Alligator mississippiensis: one gene and its partners. The protein of the gene in region 4 purifies or fractionates together with the protein of the main gene of each other region. This does not show direct contact. Links are inferred from orthologs where the notes say so. Each region holds a gene or a part of one and is shown on either strand. Other genes may lie near its edges.

Evidence for each region.
Region 1: the proteins of CCT3 (region 4) and NEDD1 purify together in Homo sapiens (affinity purification with mass spectrometry; 3 studies listed by BioGRID and IntAct, with this or other methods). This does not show direct contact. The link is inferred for Alligator mississippiensis from reciprocal best matches to the Homo sapiens genes CCT3 and NEDD1.
Region 2: the proteins of CCT3 (region 4) and transducin-like enhancer protein 2 purify together in Homo sapiens (affinity purification with mass spectrometry; 3 studies listed by BioGRID and IntAct, with this or other methods). This does not show direct contact. The link is inferred for Alligator mississippiensis from reciprocal best matches to the Homo sapiens genes CCT3 and TLE2.
Region 3: the proteins of CCT3 (region 4) and WRAP53 purify together in Homo sapiens (co-immunoprecipitation; 3 studies listed by BioGRID and IntAct, with this or other methods). This does not show direct contact. The link is inferred for Alligator mississippiensis from reciprocal best matches to the Homo sapiens genes CCT3 and WRAP53.

The regions. Positions count from the first base shown.
Region 1 is NC_081827.1:94,737,986-94,745,655, reverse strand, and holds the start of NEDD1 (protein NEDD1), read left to right. Parts: upstream 1-4,667; 5' UTR 4,668-4,740; intron 4,741-6,167; 5' UTR 6,168-6,175; coding exon 6,176-6,314; intron 6,315-7,670. UniProt on the Homo sapiens protein: Required for mitosis progression. Promotes the nucleation of microtubules from the spindle.
Region 2 is NC_081839.1:3,787,719-3,795,420, forward strand, and holds the start of transducin-like enhancer protein 2, read right to left. Parts: upstream 3,002-7,702; 5' UTR 2,443-3,001; coding exon 2,419-2,442; intron 2,278-2,418; coding exon 2,180-2,277; intron 1,975-2,179; exon of another isoform or gene 1,913-1,974; intron 1,497-1,912; coding exon 1,433-1,496; intron 520-1,432; coding exon 475-519; intron 1-474.
Region 3 is NC_081838.1:24,752,581-24,759,881, reverse strand, and holds the start of WRAP53 (telomerase Cajal body protein 1), read right to left. Parts: upstream 3,003-7,301; 5' UTR 2,812-3,002; exon of another isoform or gene 2,723-2,811; intron 1,805-2,722; 5' UTR 1,787-1,804; coding exon 1,602-1,786; intron 1,485-1,601; coding exon 1,386-1,484; intron 1,191-1,385; coding exon 1,082-1,190; intron 863-1,081; coding exon 774-862; intron 558-773; coding exon 467-557; intron 212-466; coding exon 79-211; intron 1-78. Other genes in the region: tumor necrosis factor, read right to left, coding at 3,018-3,127, 3,229-3,376, 3,457-3,575, 3,926-3,973, 4,062-4,128, 7,065-7,192. UniProt on the Homo sapiens protein: RNA chaperone that plays a key role in telomere maintenance and RNA localization to Cajal bodies. Specifically recognizes and binds the Cajal body box (CAB box) present in both small Cajal body RNAs (scaRNAs) and telomerase RNA template component (TERC).
Region 4 is NC_081838.1:17,548,335-17,555,316, reverse strand, and holds the start of CCT3 (T-complex protein 1 subunit gamma), read left to right. Parts: upstream 1-3,980; 5' UTR 3,981-4,057; coding exon 4,058-4,088; intron 4,089-5,178; coding exon 5,179-5,240; intron 5,241-6,166; coding exon 6,167-6,217; intron 6,218-6,307; coding exon 6,308-6,370; intron 6,371-6,982. Other genes in the region: TSACC (TSSK6-activating co-chaperone protein), read right to left, coding at 272-483, 1,003-1,158, 1,936-2,013, 2,429-2,531, 3,024-3,050. UniProt on the Homo sapiens protein: Component of the chaperonin-containing T-complex (TRiC), a molecular chaperone complex that assists the folding of actin, tubulin and other proteins upon ATP hydrolysis.

The DNA of each region.
Region 1 (7,670 bases), on a different chromosome or scaffold from region 4:
AGGGCTCAGTTTACAAATAAAAGGGGTTTTAAACATTTTGTAAGCCTTACATATTCCCAGTCATTAAACATAGTGGGAGGATTAAGTTATTGAGAAGGAAGTAAGTAGAGAAAGAATTCTGAACTTTAAAAAGTTCACTCATATCTGAGCTCTAAGCAGAAGTGACATTTCTCTGACAGAGGGAGAAGAGAGAATTACCAGCTCCAGAGAGGGGAAAAAGGTGCCTGTTGAAAGTGATTTTTAGATAAGAAGATTTTTAGATAAACATCACTTCATATAGAAGCTGAACTGGCCATGGATATAATATTGAAAGAGCGATGTAAATATTTAAAAAATGTTTATTATTTAAAAATATGAATAACTGTGAGTGCCAACATAAAATTTAATAATTGAGCTTTCAAAAATTGCAAAATTGTAAAGTATTTATCTTTAAGTAAAGTATTTAAATCACTTTAAAACTATTAGTTTTGTCCTAAATTTCCTACCTGAAACAATGAACTGTTAAAAAAAAATACCAATTATCATGCTCTTTTTAAAATTAGGTTCAGCTTGGCATCTATAATGAAGTCATTTATATCAGCAAAAGATCTGCTTCCATTAATTCCTATAATCGAGATAAGTGTAAAATATTAGAAGTCTTGATTTGTAGTGCCTTCAAAGATGAATGGCAGATTCACACTTGTTTCAAATTTGTTTCTATTGACTCAGATTACACAGGACACTATTAGTGTGGATTGTTATGGTTACTACTGCTCTTCCTCAAGGGTCTTTACTGTTACGTTAATAGTAGACAAAAATCAAGTGGGCAGAATGTTCTATTGGTGAATAATTTAATATGATAAAGCATACTGCAGGATATTGCAGGCATCAAAATGGAGCTGACAGCCATGGGCAACAGGTGCCTCCTAAGTTGGGGCGGGGGGGAACTTGCCCCACCAGCAACCAGTCAGCAATTGAGGGAAGAGGGAGAGCACGGCCGATTGCATGGACCCGGAAGTGTCACACCAACCCAGAACCGCCAGCAGTGTGGCACAGCACAGTACATCTGGGTCAGTGCGATCAGTCACAGATGGACCGTGGGGATCGCCTCTCCTGGTGCTCCCACTCCCCGGCCAGCACTCTCAAGGGGGACACCAGCACTCTTGCCTGCCCCCCCTGCCCATCACCTAAGCGGGGAATGCTGGCTGTCAGGGGTTGCACAAATGCTCTTGGGGGTGCACCTGCACCCCCTACATGTCACCACTGCCAACAGCATTATACATTAGCACTCATGGCTACCCTGATGGGGAATGGCTACCAGGCAGGTATGGAATATATACTATATAAGCCATGATATATTGCTACCTATAGTTTGAATGTACTGCCTTAATGAAAGAAAAGGTTGACTTCATTGCCTTTTATTTTATGCTAAATAACTGTGTCCACCGGCTCCTTTTAAGGCAGCGACATAGCACTCAAAAAACCCTCAAAGTTGGGACAGTGCTGGCATGTAATAAAACAGCATGTTGTGGGGTTAATATATCATCAGTAGAAATAAGCGGTCAGCTTCCATTGATTTCTTAGAGCAGTGGTCACCAACCAGCAGATCTCGATCTCGGAACCTCTTGCGGTAGATCTTAGAGCCTCTCGGAGTCAATCTGAGGCCTGGGTGGGGGGTTGAGTGCCTGCGTGCATGCACGGGTGCGCCCCAGCCCAGCAGGTCAGTCTGTGGGGAAGGGAAGGGGCGGGACCTAGATCGAGGCCCCCTGCGGTGAAGGACAGTGCTGCAGAGGCAGGAGCAGGGGTAAGTTGAGTGGGGTTCTGGCCTGCTGGAACTTACCTGCTGGGGAGGCACGCCCTCAAATAATTTCTCCTCCCTCTGCCTTGACCTGCTCCCTACCTTCCCTTCCCACAGATTTACCTGCGGGGGAGGGGTGATGGTAGCACACAGTAGATCTTGGGTTGCTTTTAAATGCCAAAGGTGATCTGCTACTTAAAAAGGTTGGAGACCATTGTCTTAGAGGCTCCACAAAAGGAACACAATGTAGTAATTTGAAATTTTTGTGGAAGATGGTGCAAAACAAAATCTGGCACTAGTAGTAATGGATTCAATGCCCCTTGGCAGCCACAGATGGTAAGAGTAACAAAAGGAAAAAACACTGGTCATACCCAGTTCACTCTCCTTTTCAGCATCCACTTTGCTCCTGTGTGACAGGACACTGGGCAAGATGGACCCATCATCTGACCCAGTAAATGGCAATTCTTATGTTAACAACCTCTTGCAAGCACAAGCTCCCTAGGGAACCTTTTCCATACCATCTATTCAAGTGATGCTATGGACTGGTTCAAGTCTGAGGATGGGGCACTTCTGAGAGTGTAAGTATTCGCCAACCTTATCCTGACCAAAATGCTAAACATCTGAGTTAGGTATCCAGGTTGTTTGCATCTGTGTAACTCCACTGACTTAGAGTTACTCTTTGTTTACATCAATGAAACAGAATAATCAGGCCTTTATCCTAAACAAAGTAAAATATCTTTGATTAATGCTACAGGATTCCCTTGAGAAGATCTACCAGGACAGGATATAAAACATGAACAATGATCAGTGATGATGATGGATGTAAGGAATAAAGACACATTTGCTAAAAACTGTCAGGAAAAATAATGGCATTTTTTATACTGGTAATATGATTGGGGGGGGCTATGTTTTGTTTGTTTTTTTACCTTGGCTCTCTTACACAGACTAGGAAAAAAGAAATGAACCAGATAAATCAGCATTTCATCAGCAAGAGTCAACAGGCATATTTTATACTTAACAATGTTGAGGATCATTTATAAGGGAAAGACTTATTTGAAAGCAAAGCCATAGGCAAGGAAGCTAAGGTCTAAATGAATGTTCAACATTTAGTTTTGCTCCTTTTTTATATTTAATGGCCTTGCAGTGGCAGTCTTCCTGACATTCTTCCTACAGAATATACCGCTTATAGCTAGAAAGCAAAGGCAATATTAAAACTGAAGCATTTCATGAAGCATTTCATGTGAGGAATTGGCAGCTGTCAGTTTACCAAATAAAATTTTTATCTTGTAAAAGCCAATGGCAATGAAACATTGATCACCAGTGTCAGGGTATACAAAGAAAGTCTGTTACATGATTGGTTATTGGAAATAATATGCTGCCTGCAGTTCCTATTCATAATCCTGAAAATAGGATGATTAAAAATGGTTCTAAATGGCAAAGTTAAGACCAAGACTTAAGTTTGAGATTTTATTTTTTGCTGAAGATAGGCAGGCCTTAGTCTAGCTGGTTTGGAGAGGTGCAAGATTTCATAGGAGACAGCATCTGAGGAAGTAGGCTGATGCTTGTGGAAGCTTATGCTTCTCTGAGTCAGACTCCAAGGGCGTTGTTGCATGGTAATTTTGGGTGACTTTTGGAGCGCTCAACACCTGGACTGTCCAAACATTAATGCCTGAAACTGGTTTTCAGCACTTGTTAAGTGGCTCAAAGGTACACCACTCCAGGTGTGTGGTTTCTTTCTGATCCATGCGAGTGCTGCCCAGCTTGTGTGTTACATTAAGGTGCAACCCCTCTAGGGTACACCTTAGTGTAAACACCCCACCTGTCCCCCTTTCCAACTGGGCCCAGATCAGGCCCATTGCTCCTCCTGTCCCACCCTGCCCTTCCCAGATCCCTGCTTACTTGTGGCTGCCTCCCCCGTCTGTCCTGGGGAGCAGGCAGGGAAAGGTTAACCAGCCACTGTTGCTGCTCTGTGAGTGGGCTCAGCCAGAAGATCAGCAGCCAGCAGTGGCATCTGGGCAGGCCGGTTAATGTTTCCCTGTCTGCTCCCCTGCGACAGACAGTGCTGGCAGCTACCAGCGGGAGGAGGGCAGGAGGGAAGCTGGGAATTGGAGGGGGTCCTGCTGGCCTGTAGTCCGACTGCGCCAAATGCTAGCTAGTGCTCAGACACGTGTGCGGCTTGCAGCGCAAGGGGCAACAAGCCCCAGCCTGTGGCGACTCTTAGTGCTTTGAGCCCCTTTCAAGGGTGCCTCACCACGGGGTCAAAGGGGAACCTGCAGCACCCAAGCTGTTCTTTGCCACACGAGTTTGGCTCTAGTATTTTTCCCATAGTCAATTTTTTTTTAAATAAGGGAAAGCTCAGAGCTCCCACTTTCTGGGGGCCCCGGAGTCTGAGGAGAGCGCCTGGCCTCTAGAAAAGTGGAGAACTACTCCTCTGCAGTGCCACTTTACCCCGCCTTCATGCGCCGGTGACTAATTTATTCCCGCAGTGGTGGTGTAGCCGCAAGGGTCCCGACATGAGGCGAGACGCAAGGATTTTTTAGGGCCGGCTCCGGCTTTAATTGGACCGACCGCGTGGCTGGGATCAAGGCGGACACGCTGCCAATGCAAGACCTTCCTCAGGCCTGACTGTCACTGCGGGAAAGCCTCCCCTCGCGCCCGGCCCAGCGCTGGCAGAACAGCACGAGGCGGCAGTCGGGCCCTTATCCCTGGGTGGGACGACGGCGGGGCGATCCCAAAAGGATTTTGCCCCCTAATCCCAGCCTGGCCTCAGCGCTACGTGGGGCCGCGGCCCGAGTCTCGTCTGACATTGTACAGGGCAAGTCTACGCCCCCAGTGCGCACGAAGCCCCACCCCCACCGCCCGAGGAAACCGAACGCAATCGCGCGCCTTGTGGCCCCTCCGGGCCGCCGTAGCCGGAGCCGCCGGACGGGAAAAGGGCGCTGCGGTGGCTGTTGGGACTGACTGTTAAGTTGCAAGAGGCGCGGAAAGTCCACGGCGCCTCTGGGCTGCCGGCATGAGGCGGGCGCTGTAGCGGAGGCCGGGCCTGGCGGGTCTCGGGTGCGGGTGGGTGTCCCGGACCTGGTCCCCTCTCTGGTCCGTACTGCCCGCCGGCCGCCTCGGGCGGTTCCAAAGCGCGCCCCGGGAGGGGGGGAGGGTTGTTTCCAACTGTGCTAGCGGGCGGGGGAAGGAAGTGGTACGTCCCGCCCGGCCCGACTGGGGGGCGATCCCGCAGCAGCTGCCAGGGCGGGGCTGGCGGCCCCTGGGTGGCACCCGCGCGTGACGCCCGCCGGGTCTCCTCCACCTCAGTGCCTGGCCCTGGTCCGTGCCAGTGCGATGCCACCTGCTAGCCGTGCGCCGCACAGCCGAGCACGCGGGGCCACGTCTTCCAGCCCCCCCAGCCCAGAAACGGGGCAGTAGGCAAGTGGCGGATAACATCACCGCCACTCCCCGGTCACCAACCTTTCACACCTGTGGGCCGTCTGACAAGAGCTCGCTGACTGGGTTCGGTGCCCCGGACCTCCCCACCAAAACGGGGGGACTTCTTCCCCCCACTCCCTCCACATCATGTGACTGAAGGTGGAGGAAAAAGGACCCCCCCCAGGGTCCAAGTGTCCTGTCCTGGAGGGTTGGTTTGGGCTCTAGCCTGGTTGGTGCCATGTGCTGTTGTGGGGCTCGAGTCGTCATGGCTTGGTGTGAAGCCACCAAAGGAGCAGTATTTCTCCCCGCTGCTCATTTGGTCAAAGCAAGGAAGGATGGGGAAGCTGTCTGTAGTAATGACCCAACCTGCCCGAGGAAGAGTTTTCAGATGGTAACCAGGTAGCTTCATAGACTCGTGACCTTTTGTTTGCTAATAACTTATTTATTCACATGTCACACTCGCTTCCCTCCACCCTTGAAAGTTAATACTCAAAGGTTGGGATGTGTCTCTCAAATGAGGACACTGATTCTGAACACTTTGCTTAAGAGGAAAAAATTTTTTCCTTCTTGGTTCTGACTTCCTAAAACAGCGATTGTTTTACTTGGGGGATACAGTATGTTGACAGGCTCAGCATATACAACGTACATGCAATATACAAAAAGTTTAGGTATGGTACCATAGAAAGTAACTGCATCTGAAATGTATTTTAACCTTTGGGGCAACAAATTCCATTTGTTTAGATTGGTTGCATAATGGTAGTTAGCTGTGTTAGTTCACTTGTTAGTTTGCAGGGTAGAGATGCACCTTACAGACTAAATAAGATGCATCTAGAGCATAAGAGTTAATGTCTTCAGCTCACTGTCTTGTCATTTTATCATGAAAATTATGCTAGCGATTGCAGATAGAAATCTTAACCAGCACAAGGAACTGTTGCTGATCTTATTTTCTTTACGCTTCTGTTTATGCCTGTAGGTGCAGCCATGCAGGAAAGCATCCGCTTCGCTTCAGCAGGAGACGATGTTAAAATATGGGATTCTTCATCTATCACAGTGGTGGAGCAGTTCAACCCCCATTCTTCCTCACCTACAGTCAGCTCACTTTGTTGGGGCAGTAATAATATCCTTTGCTCTATCGGTTTGATACGGTGTCTGGGGAGTTCTGCAAAATTTTATTGAACTTTTTGGTTTGAAGCACTTTGTAGGTGTCAGTTTTCATTTAGTGTTGATTGGAAGAACTGCTTTTATCTTTTTAAGCAAATATTTTTTTGCATGCTTAGGCAGAAATATTAAGGGTTGGGAATAAACTACCAAATTAAATATAAGGCCAAACGGCTTAGCTGCTACAGAAAAAAACAAACTATACTGGTGGATTCCTCTGAATAATTTCTTAACGATCCTGGGGAAAATCTATTTTTAATACTGATACTATGTTTGAGTCACCTCGCAAGTGTAGAAATTTAAGGGTTTTTTAATTGTTTGCCTTGAAAATAAGTGCAGTAGTTTTCAGTGATAAATAAGCTGACAGAACCTACTGGTAGCAGAAAAAATCTGTAAGTAATATGAAGTTGATTATAGAACACTTGCTTTGGCTTCCAAATGTTAATCTTTCAAGCCAGGCTGTGGGTATTAGAAATGATCTTTGGCTGTCACTGTATTTAATGGAAACCGAAAACTTTCTGTCCAGTAGGAAATTTAATTTTAAAGCCTTCTTAAGTGAAAGATCTGCAATTTGCAGACAAGTCTCAAGTATTTGTTAGGTTCCTGAGATGCAAGTTTCTTCCTCAGAGAATGTTACCACAGATCACTCCTTCATTGTACACGCAGGGTTTCAGGTCTATTTTGGGTAGTCCCTTTCACATTTGTTTCAGACTCCTTTTGTGATAGGTGGGACTATATGTAGCCTTGATTATGTTGGAAGGGTATACATAGGTAGATTAGGTATATTTAGGAAGGTCTGTATGAGAATTTTCTCTAAAATACTAATAGCTCCAACAGATCAGCTAGTTTCATGGCATCACTGTGTTGGGAAGAGATTGATATATGATATGGATGTCAAAAAATAGTGGGCTGGCAAGTTATAATTACTTCCCCAAAGTTCTAAATGTGTCTGACCTCTGAGATGAAGTATGGCAGGGATAGAGATGAGGCAATGGTTATAATCATCAAGGTTAAATACAGCATTTAGCAGTGCAGATGTTGAAGAAAGGACTGATTTAATATGATACAAATACTAATTCAGAGCTTTAAAGTGCCGTAGTTGACTTGAAGTCTAAATAGCGCTGCTTCATTTTTCTGCATTTTCCTCGCCTCCTGTCCTGCAAAAAAACCCATGAAAGTTCATTCAAATCCTCTGCTGCTTGTGAGTCCCTTGCCAATTTGTGTTTTTACAAACAAGCTTTCTTAATAAATGTTCTCCTGCTTTTATGTAAAAGATCAACACAAACAAAAAGGAAAGCTGACTAAGAAATCAGGGAAT
Region 2 (7,702 bases), on a different chromosome or scaffold from region 4:
CGGGGCTGGCTGGAAAACACTGTGCCGGCTCCGAGCAGGGGGGAAGCCGAGGTCCGGTTGCCACCAGCCGCTCCGGGCACCCCGCCATGCCCTCCTGGCCCCGAGACCACTGGCGGAGGGGAGGCCGTGCCAAGGCTGGCTGGGAAAGGGGTTTAGGTCCTTAAAGGTGTGGGCGGGCATCTCAGTCCCTGTGGTGTCAGAGGGATTTAGGCACCTCAATACACCCACTAAGGCTTAAGGACATGGTCCCTGCTCAGGGACCCCATCCCTGCCCTGTCCCCCCTGTGCTCCTCAGGGTCCTGGCATTTGTACAGCGCCAAGCGCAGCAAGAGCCGCTCCCCACCGGGACTTGGTGCCACCCAGCTCAGCGTCAGTGAGCTCTGGGTTCAACGCCCCCTTTGAGGGCAACGTGGAAGGATTGTGCCCCAGGGCGGAGCGCCTGCCCCGCGTTGGGCCTGGGCCCCTGGCACTCACCTGCTTGTGCATCTCGATGTTGAGCCCGTAGGACATCTCGTAGTACTGCAAGGGAAGCCAGACGACCGTCCAGTTACAGGGGGGTCCCACGGGGCATTAGCGGGGTCCCTCTCTTGGGCACTAGCAGGACAAGCCCCCCCGCTTGGCCCTCCAGCCCCAGCAGCTGCAGGAGAGGGGCTCTGTGCAGCCCACCCTCCCCTGCCCCATGTCCTACTCACACCAGGTCCTGCCTGAGCTTAGTGGGCACCAATGCCCGCCTGCCCTCCCCCCGCAACATGCCTGCTCTACCCACTGGCGCATATTTCCCCCGGGGAACTGGCACCCGTGCGGTGAAGTGGGGGGGAGAGGGGGTGGCAGAAAGGACTCATAGCCAAGCATGGACAGGACCCCAGCCTCATTGCCTGGGCAGGGGGGCCAGGGTGTTTCCCCCCTCACCCACCAAGATGTTTGGGCATCTCCTTTGCAAAGAGCTGGGCAGTGCCCAGTTCGGCTGGGCAATGCCAGGGCTCCCAGCCCATTTATTAACCCCTTGCTGGCCATTACAGATGCTGCTCCCTGCCATCATGGTGGGGAGCACGAGGTGGGGGGGTTCTGCGCCTTTGCTTCCAGGAATCCCCTCCCACCCCGGGGGGGGGGCAGAGACCTGTATAATTAAGAGACCGGGGCAAAAAGGAAGACAGAGAGCATGGCCTGGATCCAGGCTGGCACCGAGGCAGCAGACAGCAGCTGCCCCCCCCCCCAGCCCATTGCTAGGACTAGCGCTTAACTCCTTCCTGCCTGATGCTCCCCCCCACTCGGGGAGACCCCCGGGGTGACCTGCTGGCAGCACCCACTGGCTGGGGGGGGGGTCTCCTCCCAAGCCAGGCTCTAGGGACCCACGGTGTGCAGAGGACCCAGCTGGAGGGTGAGCCCCCCACCCCGTTGGCTCCAGCGGGGTGGGGATGAGTGGGGGTCTTACCATGACGTAGTGTCGCTGCATCTCCGTCTTCTCGCTGGCCAGCTTCTCACATTCCAGCTTCAGGCTGCGGACAAACCGCTCGGTCACAAGGGCAGGCTGGTGCCACCCTGCCCTCCCCGCCAGGGTCCCAGCATCAGGGCTGGCAGCCCCCCGCCCCTGCTGCCCCGCTGCCGGCGGGTTGTGGCACGCAGGACGGCAGGGCTCCCATGGCATCGACCCACCCCCGGTGCCTGTATTCCCACCCTGGCATCTTGGCTCCCGACCTGCACCCCTTTTCCCCCAAGCATTTGCTTGCGCCAGCTCTTGGGGTCTTCCTCTGACCTGAAGCCCCCCCAGCTCGCCCCCTGCCCTCTTCCCCCACCATGCAAATGCCTCCTGCCTGGCAAACCCCAGGACCTGACCCCCCCCCCCCCCGGCACCCCCAGCTGCTCCCTGCCTCCCCGCTTGGTACTACCAAGCTCTGTGCCTTGCCCCCTTTACCCGGGACCTGGCGCATGGCCTCTTGCGGTCTCCTGACCCCCAACCAGTCTCCTCCATCCACCTCCCCATGGGCTCACATGCTCCTCCCAGCTCCCCCCTCTCCAAGCAGGGGGCTGAGCCCTGTCCTCGCTATCAGGCCCCTGCCTCACCTGCCCCCCACACCCAGCCCAGCCAGCTGCCACGGGCAAAACTCTCCTCCTGCCCCCCTCAATGACCCCCAATGCCCGCCGTCCCCCCAGCCGCCCCCAGCCCGCCCGCACCCCTCACCTGTGGTACTGTGCCTGCAGAAACTGGAATTCCTCCTTGATCCGGTCGCAGATCTCCAGGATGGAGAACTTGAAGGGCTGCCCGGACTGGAGCGGGGTCTGGGGAGGGAAGCACAGGGGGCATGAGCGCGATGCCCCGTGCATCGGGGACCTGCCCCTGCCCCGCGCCTGGATCAGAGCCCAGTGCCCCCCTACCCCTGCCCATGCACCCCCGCAGCCAGTGGCGGGGCTGGTACTTACAGGGTGCCGTCCTTGCGGGTACATCCTGAGCCGCTGGCCCCAAACGGCTACCAGCCAGGGGAAGGGGGCGGCCCCCGCTAGCCCCCCCAGGACCCCTGCACTTGAACTTCTCCAACAGCCGCCGTAGGATCAGGAGGGCAGCCAAAGCCCAGGACGAGCCAGGCGGGCACAAGGCTTCCTCTGACCAGGCTTTTTTTTTTTTTTCTTTTTATCTTAAATGCAAGGATTTTGGGGGTGCCGGAGCGGAGATCTCCGCCGGGCGAGAGGGGAGCAGGACTCCCTCCCCGGCGGGTCGTGAGCGGCCCATCGGACACGGGGCTGGGGGGAAATCTAATCGGCCTTAAAGCATGGGGTGGGGGGGGGACAAAAAAACCCAGCAGGAACAGAAGGTCAGGCGAAAATCTGGCCGGATTTCAGCAGCGGTCCCTGGCTGGAATAAAAACTACCTCCTGGCAAGGCAGAGAAAGCAGGGGAGCCTGGCGAAGCGCGCCTTAAGGTGGCTCTGGCCCTCCAGGAGAGGCCTTGGCCACGGCGCTGGGAGAGCTGGGGCGCCCCCCAGGCACCCCCCAGGCACCAGCTCCCGCAGGCAGCGGTGCCTTCGGCCAGACCCACAATTTGCCGCCCCCCAGCTCCAGCCGCTTTGGTGTCGCCTGCCTGCTCTGATGCCTCCCCCGGCCTCCTAGCCACTCCAGTGCCCCCTCCCCAGCTACTTCAGGGTCCCCTGGCCACGCTGGTGCCCCCTCCCCAGCCACTTCAGTGCCCCGTGAGTGCACTGGTGCCCCCAAGTTGCTCTGAAGCCCCCCGGGCACCGTAGGGGGGACGGGGGGAAGCCAGGAGAGCAGAGCAGCCTCCAGCCCCCGGCTTCCTTCTCCCGGACCCTGGCTGGAAACCAGCCCTCCCTCCACCCCTGGCATCATCTGGGCATTGTCCACGCAGGATGATGCCCGGATCAGGGTCTGGCATCTCGGGCATCCGAGGGGGCCGAACACAGGGCACACAGCGCCCCGAGAGAAAGCCTGGACTGGGCTAGAGAGGCTGCGACTGGGGCAGCGAGCAGCAAATGCCCCGAGCAAGCTGCTGTCCTGCCCCGGGCACCGCAGCGCCTCCTGCTGGACCAAGGCTGGCGGGGCGACTCGCGCTGCCCCACGCCTCGCCTTCACGCCAGCCCCCAGGCCCAGGCCAGCGGTGCCAGGGGACCAGCGCTGTGCTGGACGCCAAGGCAGGATGCTCGGGCCGGCAGGTGACCCAGGAGGACGCCCGCGCCCTGGGCTGCCCAGGTCCACCTTAAAGAGCTTTGCAGCCTCGGCTACTGTGGACGCGGCGCCATTGGCTGCCGTGGGCTGGGAGCGCCAACCAATGCGCCTTCCCAGTTCCCACATGGGTCCATGATGTCAAAGCTTTCGGAGGCTAATCAGGAGGAGAAGCAGGGGGGAGCCGGGGTGGGGCAGTGGCAGTGGCAGGCTGGGACTTGTGGTTTCCCAGCCCCATCTCAGCTGGGGCAGCATCTGGGGCAAGGGTGCCAGGCCTGGGCAGCTCTGGGGGTGCATCCCACCAGATACCCCCATGCCCCCGCCTGGCGAGAGCGTCCTCGGCCTCGGGCATGGCTGTGCCTGGTGCCACCGCCCCATGCCGCCTCCGGCCTTTTGGCACGAGAGCGGTCGGAGACCAGGCCCCTCCCTGCCAGGTGCGGGGCACAGGTGCTATGAAGCAGTGAGGCCGCTTGGAGCATGTCAGTTCTGTGCCTCGGTTTCCCCCCTTTCCAGGGTAGCCTGCAGCTCAGGCTCCTTTTGCAAAGAGCCCCATGCCTAGGACTGCTCCAGGGAGCTGGGCGCGAAGGCGGCTGGTCCCTAGGGCTCTGCCCCCCGTCGCTGCGCGTAGCAGGGCACCGCTGGCACCGGACGAGTGCACGAAGCACCCCATCTCGCCCCCCAGCACAGCTGGCCCGGACTACAGCCCCCAGCAGCCTCCGCGCTGCAGCTCCCCACCGCTGTCAATCAAAGTAACGTGGGGCCCAGCTCCCTCCACCGCCCGCCCGAAGTGGCTGGCTGGTATAATTACAGCACATTGATCTAACGGAGGCAAGGCTTTCCTGCTGGCCATGACTCAGGCTGTGCAGAGAGCAGCACATCCCTTTAACACCAAGCACAGCGGCACCATCCATCACAATAGGACCCCCCCCCCCCCCCCCCCCAGCTCCCTGCCCACAGGGCTGCAGGCAAGACAGTAAAGCGCTCTTCCCTCTGCATGTCCCGCCGGTCCTGGGACACGGGGACCCTGGGATTCCCCATCCGAGCGCGGTCTCACTTTGTTCCCCAGCCTTAAAAACCAACCCAAGCAGCCTCTGGCCCTTCCAGATCCCCGAGCTGCTGGAAGCATTCGTGCAGCACCTAGCACGGTGGGCCGGCCAGGCCCCGAGCCTTGAGGCGCTACCCGTAATTCATAACGAAGCAGTCATCCAGGCAGGCGCTTGCCCACGCTGCCGTGTTCCACCCCAGAAGTGGCTGCAGATGCATCCCCCGGGGACTGCCTTATCACCCAGCGGGGTTCGGATAGAAGGGACGTCGCTGGTTGGGGACCGCGCAATACCAGGCCGGGCCTGCCCATTCTCAGGCCAGTTTCTTGGGGGCAATGCCCATATTAGCCCCCTTCTCCATGGCCTCTGCTTGACTGAGCAAAACTGGGTTCTCATGCCCCTGGGGCAGGACTCAATGATCCTCCGGGGTCCCTTCCAGCCCTATTGTCTATGAGTCTATGAAAATGCCAGTGGATGGAAGCAGGCACTGGGGGGTCATGGCCTTCCTGATCTCTCTGGAGAGATTTGCACCCATCTCCAGACAGACACTAGGCATTAGCATGTCTGCTTCATGGATGGGGAAACTGAGGCATGGAGCGGTCAGGTCCTGGGGTCACCAGGAGCATCCCCCACGTCTCCCCGATTCCTGGCCTGGGTAGACACAGGGGCCCTAGATGGGAAGGGCTGGGAACCCCTGAGCCGCAGGGACTGGATCTACTCACTCCTCGGGTGGGAGGGGATCCACTGGAAAGAGCGATCACGGGCCCAGGAGCCAGGACTCCCGGGTCCTATCCTGGCTCTGCTGCCTGCATCTTGCGGAGGGCCGGCGTGCCTCAGTTCCCCCACCTATGAAAGGGAGCAGGAGGGACCCGTCGCAGGACTAAGCAGCGCCACGGGGCGACGTGCTGCACCATTTCTTTGGGGAAGGAGAGAAGAAATTACAGCGCACCCAAGGCCAAGCAGCTCCGGGGGCTGATTTCATCAGTGATGCAAAATTATCTGCAAGCCTATCAGCTGCGGGGAAGGCAGGGGCTCCTCCGGCCCAGATCTCAGGGCACATCCTGCCCTCCGGCTGGTGCCCGACCACCCCTTATCACCCAATTCAAACGGGCATCGGCCCCGCATTTGGGAGCAGAGGAGGTGGCCAGGCCAGGAGTCATCTCAGGCTCCCCATAGACCCCCGCTCCTGTCCCCCCCATCAGCTCTTGGAATAACTGCTGCTCCCCGGGGCAGGGAAACACTCAAATCAATTAAGCTGCAGCCCACCCGGGAGCCGGGAAGGATTACAGGCCCTGTTTCAGATGGGGTGGGGAAGAGAGATTTGCCCCCCACCCCGCAGCCTGTCGGTGGCAGAGCTAGGACGGGAACCCAGGCATCCGGGCTCCTCCTTAGTCCTCCTTGCTCTAACCGCTACACCCTGCTCCCTCCTTCAATCCACAGAGCCCTTCCCCACTCACCCCCAACCATCCCTGCTCGTCCCAGAGCTGGAAACAGGACCCAGGAGTCCTGGCTCGCAGCTGCCCTGCTCTCCCTCCTGTACCCTACTCTCCCCCCACCGCTGTAACAATTAGCCCCCAACACCTCCTCTCCCACACGGACGGACGGACAGCCCCACTCAGCCCTAGCGGAGAGGCTTCCAAGGGTTAATCCTCCCATCCACCCCTCCATGGACCCCCATCAGCCTTCTGCTCTTTAGGGTTAAACTGGGTGTTGGGGGGGGTGTTGGAAATAACCCTGCTCCTTACATCCTGCAGAAGCCAGCTGTGTCTGGCCCTCCGGCGCGGGCAGCCGCAGGGTTAAATATTTAATGTGTCACATTTCATCCTAATCTTTTATTAATTATGTTATTTACTTGCTGCATGATGTCGCCTGTCAGCAGCACGGTATGGGGTCGGGGGGCTAACATGTAGGATCTGCCTTCCCTCCCCCTCCCCACCTGGCTAGGCCAGAAGGTGCTAGTGTAGACAGGGATGGACGTGGGGATCTGCCACGCTGCGTGCCCCACGGCCCAATGGAGATGGGGGGTCTCTGCTACGGACTGCCTGCGGGGCCTTGGTCAAGTCACTTAGGCTCATCAGGCTGGCAGGTCCCTTGGGAGGGGATGTGGGGGCACATCTAATGCAGCCCTCTGCTCCAGGCAGGCTCATCCCTGAACCAGCCCCATTTTCTCCCCCTGGGCTAAAAACATCCAGTGATGGAGATCCCACTCTCCCCAGAGGAATACGCCTCCTTTCCTTCTCCCACCTGCTGCCAGTGCTCTCCAGGCAGAGATCGTCTCCAGCCATGCAGCGCCTTGCACCTCTGGTGATATAGCCCCCCACCCTGGCACTATACGATATAGCCCCCAGCCCTGGCAGCTCCTAGCGGAGGGGCGGGCGAGCTCTTTCACACCCCCTGACCCTATTGCCAAGTTCTCTGCAGCCAGCCCCTCTCCTGCCAGCAGCTTGGCAGAGGGTGAATGGGCTGGGGGGTGAGGGGGAAGCACAGCCTGGCATTAACCCCCTCCCCGCTCCCCCCCCAGCCCAGTCTGCCTGCTGGGGACATCAGACCAGTCCAGAGCAACAGCCACCCTGCAAAGCAGCTGTGCACAGCTGGGGCACGGGGTCAGGCTGGACCTGCCGTGAGACTTGGATGACTTGGACAGTGGCCCAGGCACAGGCCAGCCCGGGGTCTCTGCCCCCTCCAAGCAGGTGGATGCGCCCGGGGAGAACTGGCTGGAATAACCCCCAGCCTGATTCTAGGTTTCATTTTGGGGGGGGGCAGGGGAAGGCCGGCTTGTCACAAACCATCTCCACTGGAGGTGGGGTGGAAACTGCTCTGTGCCTCAGTTTCCCCACTGCTTAACACTCTTCCTTCCCCCTCTCCACTAAAGGGAAGGGCCATTGAGGGCATCCTTATGGTGTTGCCTCGGAGCCCACCAAAGCATCTCCTTCCACTGGCACCCCTGCACCCAACACCCCCCCTCTCCCGGTGGCCAAATCCCCTTTGCTC
Region 3 (7,301 bases), about 7.2 Mb from region 4:
GCTCTCTCAGTGGGCATGAAACCCAGGCGTCCCAGGGACCCCCCCTCACCCTGGTGGCGGGGGAGGGGGATGTCTCACCGAAGGTGGGCCGCACCTCGCAGGTCCGGCCTGGGCGCTCAGTGTCGAAGACCCTCACAGTCTTGTCAGAGCCACAGAAGAGCTGGGCCCCATCCGGGGTGAAGCAGAGCGAATGGGCGGCTGTCAGCTCGTCCTGGGGGGAGGGGGTGCATCAGGACACCTGGGGTCTCCCCCCAGCACTGCCAGGGGATGGAGGAGTGGAAGAAGGGGTGGGGCAGGGCCTGGATGCCTGGATTCTCACCCCAGGGCCACGCCAGGGGGTGGAGGTGGGGGTAGAGGCAGCCTGGACACCTCTGTTCCCTGCAGCTCTGGGGGAAAGTGAGATCTGGTGGGGGGGCTAAGGTGTAGGGAGCTGGGAGCCTAGACACGCAGGTACGCAAACACTCACCAGGTGGTTGTAGCAGCGGTATGTGGCCCGCAGCTCCCCACTGAAAGCATCCCACACGTGGATCGGGTTGTCCCGGCAGCTGCTGGCCACGCTGGGGGGTGGAGCAGACATGAGGGGAGGAGGCGGAGCCAGTTGCTGTCCCACCCCTGGGGGAAGAGCCTAAACCCCCAAGATGCAGCCAGCTCCAGGCAGAGCAGCCAAATGTAACCAGGCTCAAGGATTGGGGGGGGGGGGACGAGAAGGGGACAGCCAGGCCGAGTGCCCTGGCTAGGCAGGATCTGGCCCTGGGCAGGGCAGGACAACTCACAGGCAGGTGGACGGCTCAGCCGAGCTCATCAGCGGGAACCAGCAGTAGTCATAGATGGTGTCGCCCTCGGCCATGCACAGCACTGGGCTCTGGGGAGGAAGGGGGCGGCTCGGACACCTGGGTTCCCTCTGGCTCTGAGAGGGGGGTGGGGGCTGGGAGCCCAGACACCTGGGTTCCCTGTGGCCTGCAAAGAACAGGCTCCCAGATGCCTGGGTTCCCCGTGCCCCTCCAGGGAGGGCAATGAAGGGGCTGGAGGAGGGAGGGGATGGGAGCCCGGGCGCCTGGGTTCCCCCCCTCCCAGGCCCCACCATCTCAGCAGCAGGCCCCCCTGTGGGGCTGTACAGCTCGGGCGGCAGGTCATAGATGCGCAAGGTGTTGTCGGCGCTGTTGCTCAGCAGGCAGGAGCCGTCCGGAGCCCTGCAAGGGATGCACGTGCCAAAATCAGTTTCTCCTTTGTCTCCCAGCTGCCTCCCTGGGATGATGGGGGGGGATTTTGGGGTGCTGCCCCCTGCAGGTCAGGGCCTCCCTCTGACCCCAGCGCTGGACCCACCCCGCCCCGCCCCAAACCCCCTTCCCTTTCCCTCTGTGTATGTGTGTGGGGGGGTGTCTCACCACTTGCAGCCCTTGAGGAAGTTCTCAGGGACGTGGCCATACTCGGCCCAGGCGCCTGTCAGCAGCACAGGGGGGCGCCCAAAGTCATAGGCTGGCAGGCTGGGGGGGAGGCGGGGTATCAGGTGGAGCCAGGAGTCCAGACCCCTCCCCACTTTGACCCCCCCCCTCCCCCGGCCTGGGCAGAACCAGGTGTCCGGGCCCACCCCTCATACTCACTAATACTCCTCTTCTCCCGGCCCCGCCTCGGGCAGCCCCACCCCTGGCTCCGGCCCCTCCCCTGCATCCCCCAGGCAGGGGGTGTCAGGGGGTTCTGGGGGGACAGGAGCAGGCTCCCCCACAGCTCCAGAGTCTGGAGGTGCTTCTTCCATGGCAGTGGGGGTGTCAGATCCGGGGTGGGGCATGCCTGCCAGGAGAGGGGTCTGGAGAAGAGAGGCAGAGGTTTATGGAGGGCAGTGGGACCCAGGCATCCGGGTTCCCCCTCACCCCATTCACACCTGCTGGGGGGTAGATTGTCCCATTGCCCCGTGCGGGGGGCCAGGCTGGAGGATTCGGCTGTCCCAGTGCCCGGGGGGAGGGGCAGGTGGGGGGGCGGACTGTGCCATTACTCCAGGTTGGGGGAGTTAATGCGGGGGGGGGGACTTGAACTGATCTTGGTGGGGGGGTCAGGCTGGGGGGATGGACTGCCCATTGCTCTGGGGGATCAGGTCGGGGGGTGGGCTGCCCCTTTGCCCTGGGGCGGTCAGGGAGGGGGGTGCTGGAGTGTCCCATCACCTGCCCGGGCCTCCCGCAGAGACACGCGCTGCTCAGCAGCTGGAAGCCGCCATGACACCAACTCTCGCGAGAACTCGTGAACTCCAGCTCAAACCTCCCGCTCCCGCGTGAACTCGACGACCCATCTCGCGAGAGCCCTGCACCGGCCCTGACCTGTCGCGAGCGCTTCTTTGGCAAGATCTCGCGAGAATTTCGACCGGGGAGGTGCCGCGGCCGCTAAATCCCGCGGTCTTTCGGTGAGGGCCTCGCGCAACTTCGGTTCCAAGTCGTACCGCGCGAAATTTCGCGCTACCCTGGCCATCCTGCCTGAAAATGCCGCGAGATGTGGGCCCAATCTCACGAGATCTCGGCGGCTTGGCTGTATTTAAACCTTTCGTACGTCCCGTCAATAAGCCTCAGGCCCGGCCCAGCCAGTGCCCCTCACTCGCAACCCAAGGGCTTGAGGGACCCCGGGCTCTCGCCTTCCCCCCCCCCCCACCCCCTTTGTTACCCCCCCACCCGAGGTGGACCCCAGGCGCCCGGGCCCACCCCCGTTGCTACGGCGACAAGGAGCCTCAGGCCTCACGGAGATTTCGGGAGTGATGCCCTTGTTGCTACGGGGAGGAATCGGTGCTCGTTGGCGTGCCCGGGTGGTCGCAACGCCTCCTGCGCCCACCTGCCCCGGGCGCCTGGGTCCTTTTTCCCCACGTGTCCATGCGGCGTCCCGGACGCCTGGGGCCTTCCCCGTCTCGGCGCCACCGCCCGGATGCCTGGGTCCCTTCCCGCTGGTGGCGGCCGGCTCTGGACGCCTGGGTCCCACCGTCTCTCTCGGCGACGCCCGGGCTCCCTTTTGCGGGGCGCTGCCCGGGCGCCCGGGTCCCTCTAGAGCCGCACCAGGCCCAGGAAGGTGCCGTGGGGGGTGAGGTCCAGGGAGGCGTTGGCCCGGGGCACGGCCAGGCGCAGCCCCTCCCCCCGCTGCAGGTGGAAAGCACCTACGGGGCGAGAAGGGGCGGAGCCTCAGGGTGGGTCCCGGACCCCTCCCGAGCAGACGAAGGTGCCCCCGCCCCAACCCCCTCCTGGAGGCCCCGCCCACCTCCGCTGTAGCAGCTGTTGTAGGCCTGCTCCCGCTGCCCGGGCATGCTCTGGACGCAGCGCAGCAGGATCTGTCCCGGGCCCCGGCCCCCGGGGGGCAAACGCCAGAGCACCTGCCCCATGGTGAACGTGGGGTCGTGGAACAGCACCTGGGCAGAAGGGAGATGGTGAAGGGGGGCGTGCACGAGGGCGCGTGCACGAGGGCGCGTGCATGGGAGCAGGGCCCTACCTGGCTGTAGACGAGGTAGAGGCCCGCCTGGCGCACAGTGACGATGGAGCCGCTCAGCTCCAGGCCTTGGCCCTGCCGCAGCGCCGGCGCCCACCACAGCTCCGTCACGTCACCCTCAGCTGCGGGGACTGCGCTCAGCCCCAGCGTCCGGGGACCCCAACGCTCCCATCCCCTCCCAGAGAAGACCCAAGGGTGCAGGCCTATGTCCCTGCCCCCTCAGGGACCCAGGCATCCAGCCCCCACCTATCCCTATTGCCCCCCCCAGATGACCCAGGTGTCCGGGCCCCTATACCCCCATCCCCTCCTGGAGAATCGGGTATCTGGGCCCCCAATCACAACAGAAAACCCAGGTGTCTGCCTCCCCCGCCATGCCTCCATTGAAGCCCCCATCTGCTCCCAGAGAACCCAGGTGTCCGGGCTCCCAGGCCCCCCTGCTCCCACCCCATGCTGAGGAGCACCCAACACTCACCGTTGGTGGAGCAGTGGCTGGGGACCAGGTGCAGGGCCGTGCGTTGGCCTGGGAGGGGGGACAGACACCCCCTGAGGTCATAAACCCCCCCAACTCCCCCCCCATAGGATTGGGCCTGGGTCAGAGCCGAACTCACGGTGCTGGTGCCGTGGGCCGGGGGAGGGTGACGGCCTTTCGAGCTGCCTCCTGCTGCGGGGTGATACCTGGTGCGGATGGGAAGGGGTTAATGCCCCTTTGCACACCCCCACCACACCCGGGCCCCCAGAGCCCCACTCCAGCCCTGCACTGACCCCCCCCCCCAGCCCCCACTAGCTGGCCCCAGCAATGTGCATGTCTGTGTCCAGATCACCTGGGCTGTGCACGTGTGCGTGTGTCCTGGACACCTGGGGGGGCATCTGTCCCAGACACCAGGGTAGTGCATGCATATGGGTGTGTCCTGGGGGTGCTCATCTGTGTGCGTGCGCATGCTCTGGATGCCTGGGTCTTCTGCGGGGTCCTGTGTTCCCGGGGGGGGGGGGGGGGGGTGCTGTCCGGATGCCTCAGTTCCCTCCAGCTCGGGAGGGCTTTGGGCAGAGCCAGGACACCTGGGTTCCCTGACTGGCCTCCAGCCTCCCGCCCCCGGCGGGTGCTTTCCCCAGTCACTGCTTCCTGCTCCCTGGTTCCTCCTGGCCCTGGGCCAGGCCCTGGGGGAGGGTTAATGATTAACCCCCTGAAGATCTCCCCCCAGGGCCAGGCCACATGCATCTAAACCCCCTTGACCCCCCCCCAGACCAGCTCCCGGCAAGCACAAGGGACCAGGATGGGGCCAGGTAAGAGACCCCTGGAACCCCCCTGAGCTGGAGAAGGCCTGGGCGCCACCATCTCCCACAGCCCTGGTGTTGGCAGAGGACCCGAGCGTCTGAGCTGCCAGCACCCTCCCGGAGCAGGGAGAGGACCCAGGCATCCGGGCCCCCAGCCCCCCTCCTAGATCAGGGGGAGAACCCAGGCGTCAGGGCTCCCTGCAGCCCCCCCACATGACTGAGAGAGGACCCAGGAGTCCCGGCTCTCAGGGCTCCCTACTTTGACGCCCCTGACCCCACTTCCCCCCTCCCAGAGCAGAGAGCCAGGTGCCGGGGGTGGGGGGAGGTTCCTGGGCTCCCTGCAGCGAGAACCCAGATGTCAGAGGCTGGTGTGGGGGTCTCACCTGGGGGCGTCCGTAGGTCTTGGCCTCCAGCCGCTCCTGGAGCTGCTCCAGCTGTGCCCGCAGGGTGCCCACCTGCCTCTGCTGCATCCCCAGGGCTGCCAGGCAGGCCAGGACCCCCAGCACTGCCCCCCCTGCCAGCCATGGCGCCAGGGGGGGCCGCACCAACCCCCGTCCAGGGACCCCACTCATGAGGAGACCCCCTGCAAAAGGACCCAGGAGTCCAGGCCAGCCAGGTGTCCCTGCACCCTCCCCTTTTTAGAGCCCAGAGAGGACCCGGGCATCCAGGGCTCCCCGCCAGAGGACCCAGGCGTCCAGGGCTCTGTGGCCAGCGGGTGCAGGCCGTGGCCACCAAGTTGCAGGCGCCAGAGGCTCTTGCGCAAGGGGGCGGGGGGGGGGCAGGAAGCCGGGCCGGTGGCCAAGAGTATGCAGCGCCCAGCATGGGGGCGGGTGGCTGCCCCCACTACAAACTGGGAGAGAACCCAGGTGTCTGGGGTGCCAGTGGGGTGGGAGAAGCTGGGGGGGAGATGCAGCTGGCTCTGGGGTGGGTTGTGGATGGGTGTAACGGGAACCTCTTGTCCAGCATTGAGATGCAGCCAACTCTAGGGTGGGTCCTGGCTTCATAGAACAGGGACACGTAGGTTGGCACTGAGATTCATGCAGCTCTGGGGGTGGGTCATGGCTGGGTGTAACAGGGACCCCTTGTCCAGCACTGAGACGCAGCCACTTCTGGGGCGCATCATGACTGGATGTAACAGAGAACCCTAGGAGGGAACTGCAGCCAGCTCTGGGGTGCATCCTGGCTGCATAGAACAGACCCCTAAATTGACAGAGATGCAGCCAGCTCTGGGGTGGGTTATGGCTGAGTGTAACAGGAACCCCCAGGTTAGCACCAAGATGCAGCCAGCTCTGGGGTGGGCCTGGGCATAATGAGATCAGGCCCCGTTAGGTTCCTGGGAGGCTGAGGCCCGTACGCCCAACCCCAGCAGGGAGAGAACACAGGTGTCCAGGGCTTCCCAGCTCCTCCCCCTCCCTGCTCCCTTCCCCAAGCAGGAGGGGAGCCAGGAGTCCGGGCACCCAGTCTGCGGCCAAGCCTGTCACTGGTTCCACTGGTTTTATTTCTATTACAATAAATTTCTGTGTATAAAATTGTCAGGCCCCTCTCCCACCCTGGCCCCACCACATCAGGCTGGGGGAAGGGGCCAATGCGAGGCCCCACCCCCTCCCACCCGTGTGGGAGGTGCTCATTGGCTCCCAGCAGGGCCCTGCCCCGCCTTGCTCGGCTCAGCAAATGCAGCTGCTGCCACCCTAGCTTCCTATTGGCCGAGACAACCTGACCCTGACCGAGGGGAATTGAGATGCCCAACTTGGGGGAGCCCAGGCACCCTGGGACACCCTGACCTGGGGGAACCCGGGCATCCGGGTCCTGAGGTGCCCTGACCTAAGGGAACCCAGATGTCCAGGCTCGGAGATGCTTGCCCTGGGGAACCCAGGGACACCGTGCCCTGGGGGGACCCAGGCGTCCCAGCCCCATGGGACCCAGGCTTCTGGGCTTGGGAGGGGCCCAGCCTGGGCAAACCCAGGTGCCCAGGCTCAAGCTAGCGGAGCTGAAAGAGGCCCAGGTGGGTGAGGGAGGCGTCGGGCTTAAGACGCACACGGGGCACGGTGCCCAGGCGCAGGGTGGCACCGGAGGGCAGGCGCAGCAGCCCAGCCACACGACACCCGCGCAGCTGTGGCTCAGGGGGGCCTGCGCTGGGGGGGGGCAGCTGGTGCAGGCAGCGCAGTGCCGGCGCCACCCCCAACGCCAGCTCCAGCTTCACGTACACCCAGGCCGCCTCGTCGAAGTGCGCCTGCGGGGGGAGCGGGCATCAGAGGGACCCAAATGTCCGGGCCCCCGGCAGGGAGGGACCCCGGGAATCCAGGCCCCCGTGCCGGAGGGAACCCCAGTATCCGGCGCACCTGGGCATAGACATAGTAGAGGCCACCATGGGTGACTGTGAAGACGCCGCGTGCCTCGTCGTAGCGCAGGGGGCTACTCGCGTTCAGCCACGTCTCAGCCCAGCCCCGGATGGTCCCATCTGGCCCCGCTATGGGGGAGGGGGGGCAGCATGGGGTGAGGGGGAGCACAGGAACTGTGGGGCTGCCCAAGCTGGGAGAGAACCCAGGTGTCTGGGCTCCCCTGGCTGCCCACCCCAT
Region 4 (6,982 bases):
TCATAGCTATCTATCTATCTATCTATGGTTGCAGCCAGAGACAGGGGAACAGAAAAGGGTGGAAAGCCATGCAGGAGAAAAGCTCACACAGGACGTGTTTACAACAACTTTATTAGAAGCACTGGCTCCAGCCATAACCGTGGTGCTTGGCATCACAACGGGAACCCCAGTCTCAAGAGCTCTAGAGGTGATCACCGGCACTGAAGCTGCAGCAGAGATGAGGCAACCTAAGAAGAAATGGGACTCCAAGCTCAACCACATCCTGGGCACATCATTTGGAGGCGGAAGTCAAGCCCTGATGGCCAGTCTCTGAGTTGTCCTGCTGCCTACCCCTACGCTCTGAGGTGGCCTGGAGCAGGCTTAAGGATTCCTGCAGCCCCTCTAACAGACTGAACTGGGCCTGCACCATCTTGGTCTGAATCTGGAGATGGTTGTGCATGCATTCCAGCAGGCCCATGCACTCTTGTGGCTGATGGTCGGGGGCTGCGGGAGAAGGGGTTGGAGGGTTAGTTATTCCTCTCCTCTTCCTGCACAAAGAGCTAATTAACTGTCCTACTGATTCCAGCTGCTGAGGCTTCCCATTGGCCACAGCCATATGGGTACCATGACTATGGTGTAGACAGAGCTCTGTAACCCACAACCAGCTTTGCCCTTACAGGTATCAGCTACAGAGGAGGATCTTTTCTCTTCCTGATGCTGACACAAGTGATATGGATATACCAGACCCACTGATGCTGACAGACCCCAAGGGCCTCCTCTCCTCATGTTGGTTGGTGCCAAGCAGAATGAACTCACAGGAGGAGAAAGAAGGGGGGACTTTTGGACCAGAACCCCAAATGCATGTGCAGTTAATTTTTAGTTAATTAATTATCACCCAAACTCTATGTTATCTCAGTGCTAGTACAAGAAGAGTCCCTACCCCATAAGGCTACTGCCATGTGCCCCCGGATTCCAAGGGCTTGGTCTGTGATGAGCGGCATTCAGGATGGGTCCGACACTTACAGAATTGTTTGTGTCCCAGCCTTACAGCCTGGATGCAGCGGTGACCCCGGCTGGGCCTGCGCTGGGTGAATGGAAGCTCAAGAAAGCTGGGGGAGGGCTTGGCAGGATGGAACAGCTTAAAAGACGCAGAAGGATGTTCAACGTTCTCTGAGTCTTCTGAGAAACAGAGAAAAAGTGGGTAGAAGGGGTCATCAGGGTGTTTTCCACCATGACAGTTATAACATCAAGCCCTGACTCTCCTGTAGCACCTTTCAGCCCCAGATGCCCCACAAAGGCCAATCTAAGCATCTCCCCATGCTTGGAGGCTGGACTTTGTATCTACTTAAAAGCTCCCTGCCACAGATCTTCCTTCAGAAATTACATCTGCAGCTACAAAATGGGACAGGGGCCTCCATGTCACACACTGTCCTTTAGAAGTTCAGCTGAGCCTGCCAGCAGGGAGATTGACTAGTGGCTAATGTAGCAGATGCTTAGCTACCCTTTTCCTGCATCCTCTGTCTAAAGGAAAAGGCAGGATCTGCAGGAGAAATCCCACAGCACTGCATTCTCAGAGCTGCCTGCGCACACTAGTGTTACACAACAAATAACTACAAGGAGCTGCAGGACTGGGGAGATAGGAATACAACATCTGAGAGGAGCTTTTCAGCCTGTCTGAAAAATAAATGAATGACTGCACTATACCAGTGAGGTAAAAAGGTAAATGTAGGAAGGGCTTTTCCATTGGTAGGGTAACTCCTCTTCTGAAAAGACCTTCCAGAGTTGAAGGCCTGATACTTTATGCTGCTCTGACAGTCTCAGTCATGGACTGGAACTCCATGGTGCAAAGTGCTGTATGAATGTATATTTTGGCACAGCAAGAATTAATGCCAATGCTCATGCAAAGCTTCCAGCCTGACAGTTAAGTTGTGGTTTGTAAATAAAGTATAAACACACCCAACCTACTTATCCCATGCTGTCTTTCTTCTTGAGTGCTTGAGTCTGCCTCTATCTGGGTAGGAACAAAGCTTGCAACTACAAAGGAGAAGGAAAAAACATGGTTATCTGCTGAGATAGTTTAAAAGGAAAGAGGCTGGATACAGGCAAGAATGCACCTTCTGTTTGCACTGCAGTCAGGTCATTGCAACATTCATGTACGGGGTCACAGTGATAGGGAAAATTATAGCAAGAGAAGCATGTGAAATGAGGCATTTAGACCTCAGGGTGGCTGCTCTTAGACAGAAAAGCTTTACACATAAGAATTGCCATTTGGTGCCATAGATCTGTTTTGCCCAGTGTCCTATGACACATGATGACAAAGAGCGAATGCTGAAAGGGTGAGTGAACTAGGAATAACCAAGATTTTTCTCCTCCCACCTGCAGCCTCCAGCATTTACGGCCTAGGAAGTTCTGATTCGGAGACTGTGCCCCTCACTCCCCAGCTCCATACCTACTGATGCCCCTTTCCTCCAAGAATTTGTCCGATCCCTTTGTGAGTCTGGCCACACTTTCAGCTTCCCCCACATCTGGTTGTTCCACACTTGTCTCCCACGCTGAGTGAGAAAGAACTTCCTGGTTATCTTTAAACTTCATAGAATCACAGAAAATGAGGGTGGGAAGGGAACTCAGGAGGTCACATCTAGTTCAATGTTTTTAACCTGTAGGTCGTGACCCAAAAGTGGGTTGCAGGAATATATGAACGGGTCGTGAACAAACTTTAAAAATGGATTCTCCTAAAAATGTGGGAAACCATGGCTTTTCCCTTGCAAGCAGGCAGAGTTCCAGCCTGTGAAGGGCTGCTTGGGGGCCACCCCTGCCTCACACACCCCTCCTCTACCTCACACAGCTATCTCCTGCCCCACGCAGTAGGTGGCTGGGGCCTGGGGGAAGTGGGTTGGAAGCAAAGGGCACTGGGTCGTGACTAGCCATTGATGTTTACAAATGGGTCCTGGTACAAAAAAGGTTGAGAACCACCATCTAGTCCAACCCCCTGCTCAATGCAGGACCAGCCCCAACTAGATCATCCCGATTCAGGCCTTAAACACCTTCAAGAATGGAGATGTCACTTCCATCCCTTGTCTTCTATGATTCTGCCCTCCTCGTGAGAAAGTTCTTCCTAAAATCCAACCTAAACCTCCCTTGCTGCAACTGGAGCCCGTTGCTCCTTGTTCTACCACCTGCCCCCACTATGAACAGATCCTAGTTTATCTGACACTGGGATTCGAACCAGAATAAACAGCTCCATCCTCTTTAGTGCCACCCTGCAGGTTTCACTGTGTGACCCCTCCTGCTCTGGGATCTAGTTAGCCCCTAAGGTGCACCTTTCCTTGCCTCCTGCGCGCAAAGTGGCACGGGGCACTTCCAGCCCCAGGCCTGGGGAGGAGGAGAAGGAAGCAGCCGGCGCAGGCCTCTGGCTAGCAACAAACTACAGCCCCCATCAGGCCTTGGGGCTGGACTACAACTCCCATGGCCCCCCGGGGCGCAGCCCAGCCCTGACGAGACGGGGGGTGGACTACATCTCCCAGGATGCACCGTGAGCCGGGGGCTCTGCAGGGGACTACGACTCCCATCGTGCCCCACACCAAGGGGCTCCGGCTCCTGCAGGAGTCTAGCAGGTTCTCCCTCGCCACTCGCCTGCGGAACGAGCCCGGCCGCAGCTTGACGGCTCCGAACGCGGGCGGCAAGGCCTCCCCCGCCCCGCCATTCAACCGCTACTCGGCGCTTGCGCGCATGCCCACCGCATTCTTCTCATTGTGCGCACGCGCGGACATGCGCGGTTCTCACCTGCGACCTGCATACTACGCATGTGCTCTCAGCCGGCTTCTGCGACGCATGCGCAGTGCCGCCGGTCCCCGCCCAACGTTGGCGCCGAGGCCCCACGCGCTGAGGAGTTTCGCCTCAACCAAGCTGGGCTGGGAGGGAAGGGGCGGAGCCTTGCCTTCCTATTGGCTGCCGGGCTTCGGGCGCGGGCAGCGATTGGCGGGTGCGGCGGCAGCCGGGGTAGGTTGCCTCGGCACGGTGAAGCGGCGCCTGTCGGAGTGGTTCCCTGTCTCCAGAAGGTTCCCGACCCGCCGCCACCATGATGGGCTCGCGCCCCGTGCTCGTGCTCAGTAAGTGGGGGGGCGGGGGGTGCAAGGGTCCCCTCTCCCGTCTGCGCTAGTGCGCACGTGCGCGGTCCCCCATCCCCCCCCACGCCCCGACATGGGTTCCCCCCAAATCCCGCCCCACCCGTGGGGTGTCCCCAGTATCCCCCCCCCCCGGTGCCCCATGCCCCTCACCATTGATTGTCACCGAACCCTCGTCTTTGTGCGACTCGCTCCTGCCCCCCCCCCTTCAGAGACTTTCCACTGGGGCTTCCTAAATTGGGATTTTCTCTTCTTCCCAATGCAAGCTCCTGTTTTCTCACATACCCCTTGCTCTCTTCTCCCCCACCGCCACCTCCGTCCCCCCTTCAGCCCCCCCAAACTGGGCTCTTAATAAAGGAGAAGCAGTGTCAAATTTTATATGGGTGGGGAATGCTTCGGGGTGGACCGCAACGGTAGCAGGTCGCCTGATATGGGGGTGACGAGTGTGGGGATTTGTTCACGGGTGGGTCCTTCATTTACACTGGACGTTTCTGAAGCGGTTTCATTCGTCATGACAGTGAAGCATCCTTAAAACAGCCCCTTTCCAGAGTACCGCAAACCTACTGTGCAGCCACTTATAGCAGGTCCTTGGGGAGATTGAAGGTTCGATGTTTTTGACCCCTTTTCATGACAAGGCTGTAATCCAGACACCTCCTGTATTGCCCTATCTGGGAATGTGCTTTCTACTCGGGAGCGCATCTTTACTTATAGAAAGTTAGGGTTGGAAGGGACCTCAGGAGGTCACAGCTAATCCCAACCCCCTTCTGAAAGCAAGACAGTTCCCACCTACATCATCCCATACTTATATAGCCGAATAGGGCTTAGAAACCTTTAAAGGTGCTGTTTTTGTTAACGTTTTAAGGGAAACGTGCCGGGGGTTGAATCTCTGGTACTCCCTCCCCTACATTCACCCCTTTGCTTAACAATCAAGCATGTCTAAGCACAATTGCATCCTTGACACATTGTTATTATTCAGTTCAATGTCGGTCTTCAGCTTCATATTGCTCAGAAGCGCACTGGCAGGATTAGATTTCAGTTATGTTCTTGCTGTTGATACTTTTCCTGCTCCATTTAGGTCAAAATATGAAACGCGAGTCTGGAAGGAAGGTCCAGACTGGAAATATCAATGCTGCTAAGGTACCATCTTACTTTTTCAGTTATACAAGTTATAAAAGGGCAAATGCAACAAATTGGGAAGGTCTTTAGCTGGTGCTTTGACTCAGTTCCTTGCTGATATTTCCTGACAGGTCTTCAGAGGAAACACTGATGAACATTTCTTTGCTAGGCTAGATGTTTGCAGTGGGATGAAGTGCTCTTTTGGTGAAAGAAGGAAGCTTTAACCAAATACTATAAATGTTTCTGTCTTAATATCTCATTTGGCCAATATTTTGCTAAATTCTGACTGAGAAGATGATGAGGTCTAGAAATTTGCAGGTGGTATCTTAATAGCTAAATTGTATTTTTACAGCTGACAAAATCCTGCTTTTTGCTGCACTGAAGCAACTGTCAAATCAGTGGATCACTTTCAGCAATTAGAAGGCTTGCGTTTTTTCATGGATGGCAAGGATTATCTAAATCTGTTTTGGCTTTTGGAACACTAAAGACATTATTAATGAAATCCTGATCGCTGGAAGCAAGGGATTAAAGGAGTGAAAGCATAGAGTCAGACCAGGGATCATCTCATTTTAGAGTGTGGAACAATCCTTGACATGCTGGTCTGAATGAGTTGATTTTCTTCAGTGCTGTTTATTTATCCCTCTTCACTACTGCATGTTAACTGCTATTCACAGATCCATAGAAGTTTAGGGCTGGAAGGGGCCTTGTGCGATCATCAGGTCCAGCCCCCCTGCTCTAGGCAGGAAAGACTGCTGGGGTCGGCCCTAAGCTTCTACTATTGTGCTTTTGTAAAATGTATGAAATTCTCCCTAGGAGCATTATCACTTGATTTTTTTTTTCCTCTCTTCCCTTTATCATGATACTTCCTTTAAGAAAAGAAAAGAGAAGCAGAACATGTGCCAATTTATGAATAAATCCTGCATCATCTCACTTTCCTTTCATTTTAGACCATTGCTGACATCATCCGAACATGTTTGGGACCAAGAGCTATGATGAAGGTAAAAGCTTTTTCTGTTTGTGCTAGATGGCTCAGCAGCGTTGTGTGCCTTAACAGGCAGTCTTACCACTACTTTTCCTCTCTGATGTAGATGCTTCTGGACCCAATGGGTGGAATTGTGATGACCAACGATGGCAATGCTATTCTTCGCGAAGTGAGTCTTCAGTTTTGATCACTTTTCCTTAATACCAAATAGTTATCACGTTACCCTGGCAATGCTGATGTTCTGGAATTTTCCAGAGTCCTGAAAAAAGAGGTCTCCCATCCCAGACAAAGTGCGGAAGACAAACTAGTTAAGATTTCCTATGGCTACTAATTTTCTTGAAAAGACTAGTTTTCAAGATTGCTTATAGCCTTTTGAAACAAGACTGGTTCCCAAATTAATTTGATCATATGCAGTTGGTATGACACAAATTCTATATGTGTACATACTTGTCACGGGGTTGTAAGTTACCCTTGTCACTGATACTTATTTGATTGTCTTCACTTAAGAAAATCTGATGCATATGTTAATATTTGAAATGCAGATCTCATTTCATTGTCTGTAACCACCATAAAACAGAAAGCAGGTAAATACAGAGCTTGTAATGAATGAGAAATATTTCTGTAGAAATCACTGGGCACTGATAATAAACAAATAAACTCAAATCATTATAACTGTACAGAGGTACAGTTATAATGATTTGAGTTTATTTGTTTATTATCAGTGCCCAGTGATTTTTGTCAGTGGATTTTTGTCAATGAGACCCAGTCTCATTGTCAGTGG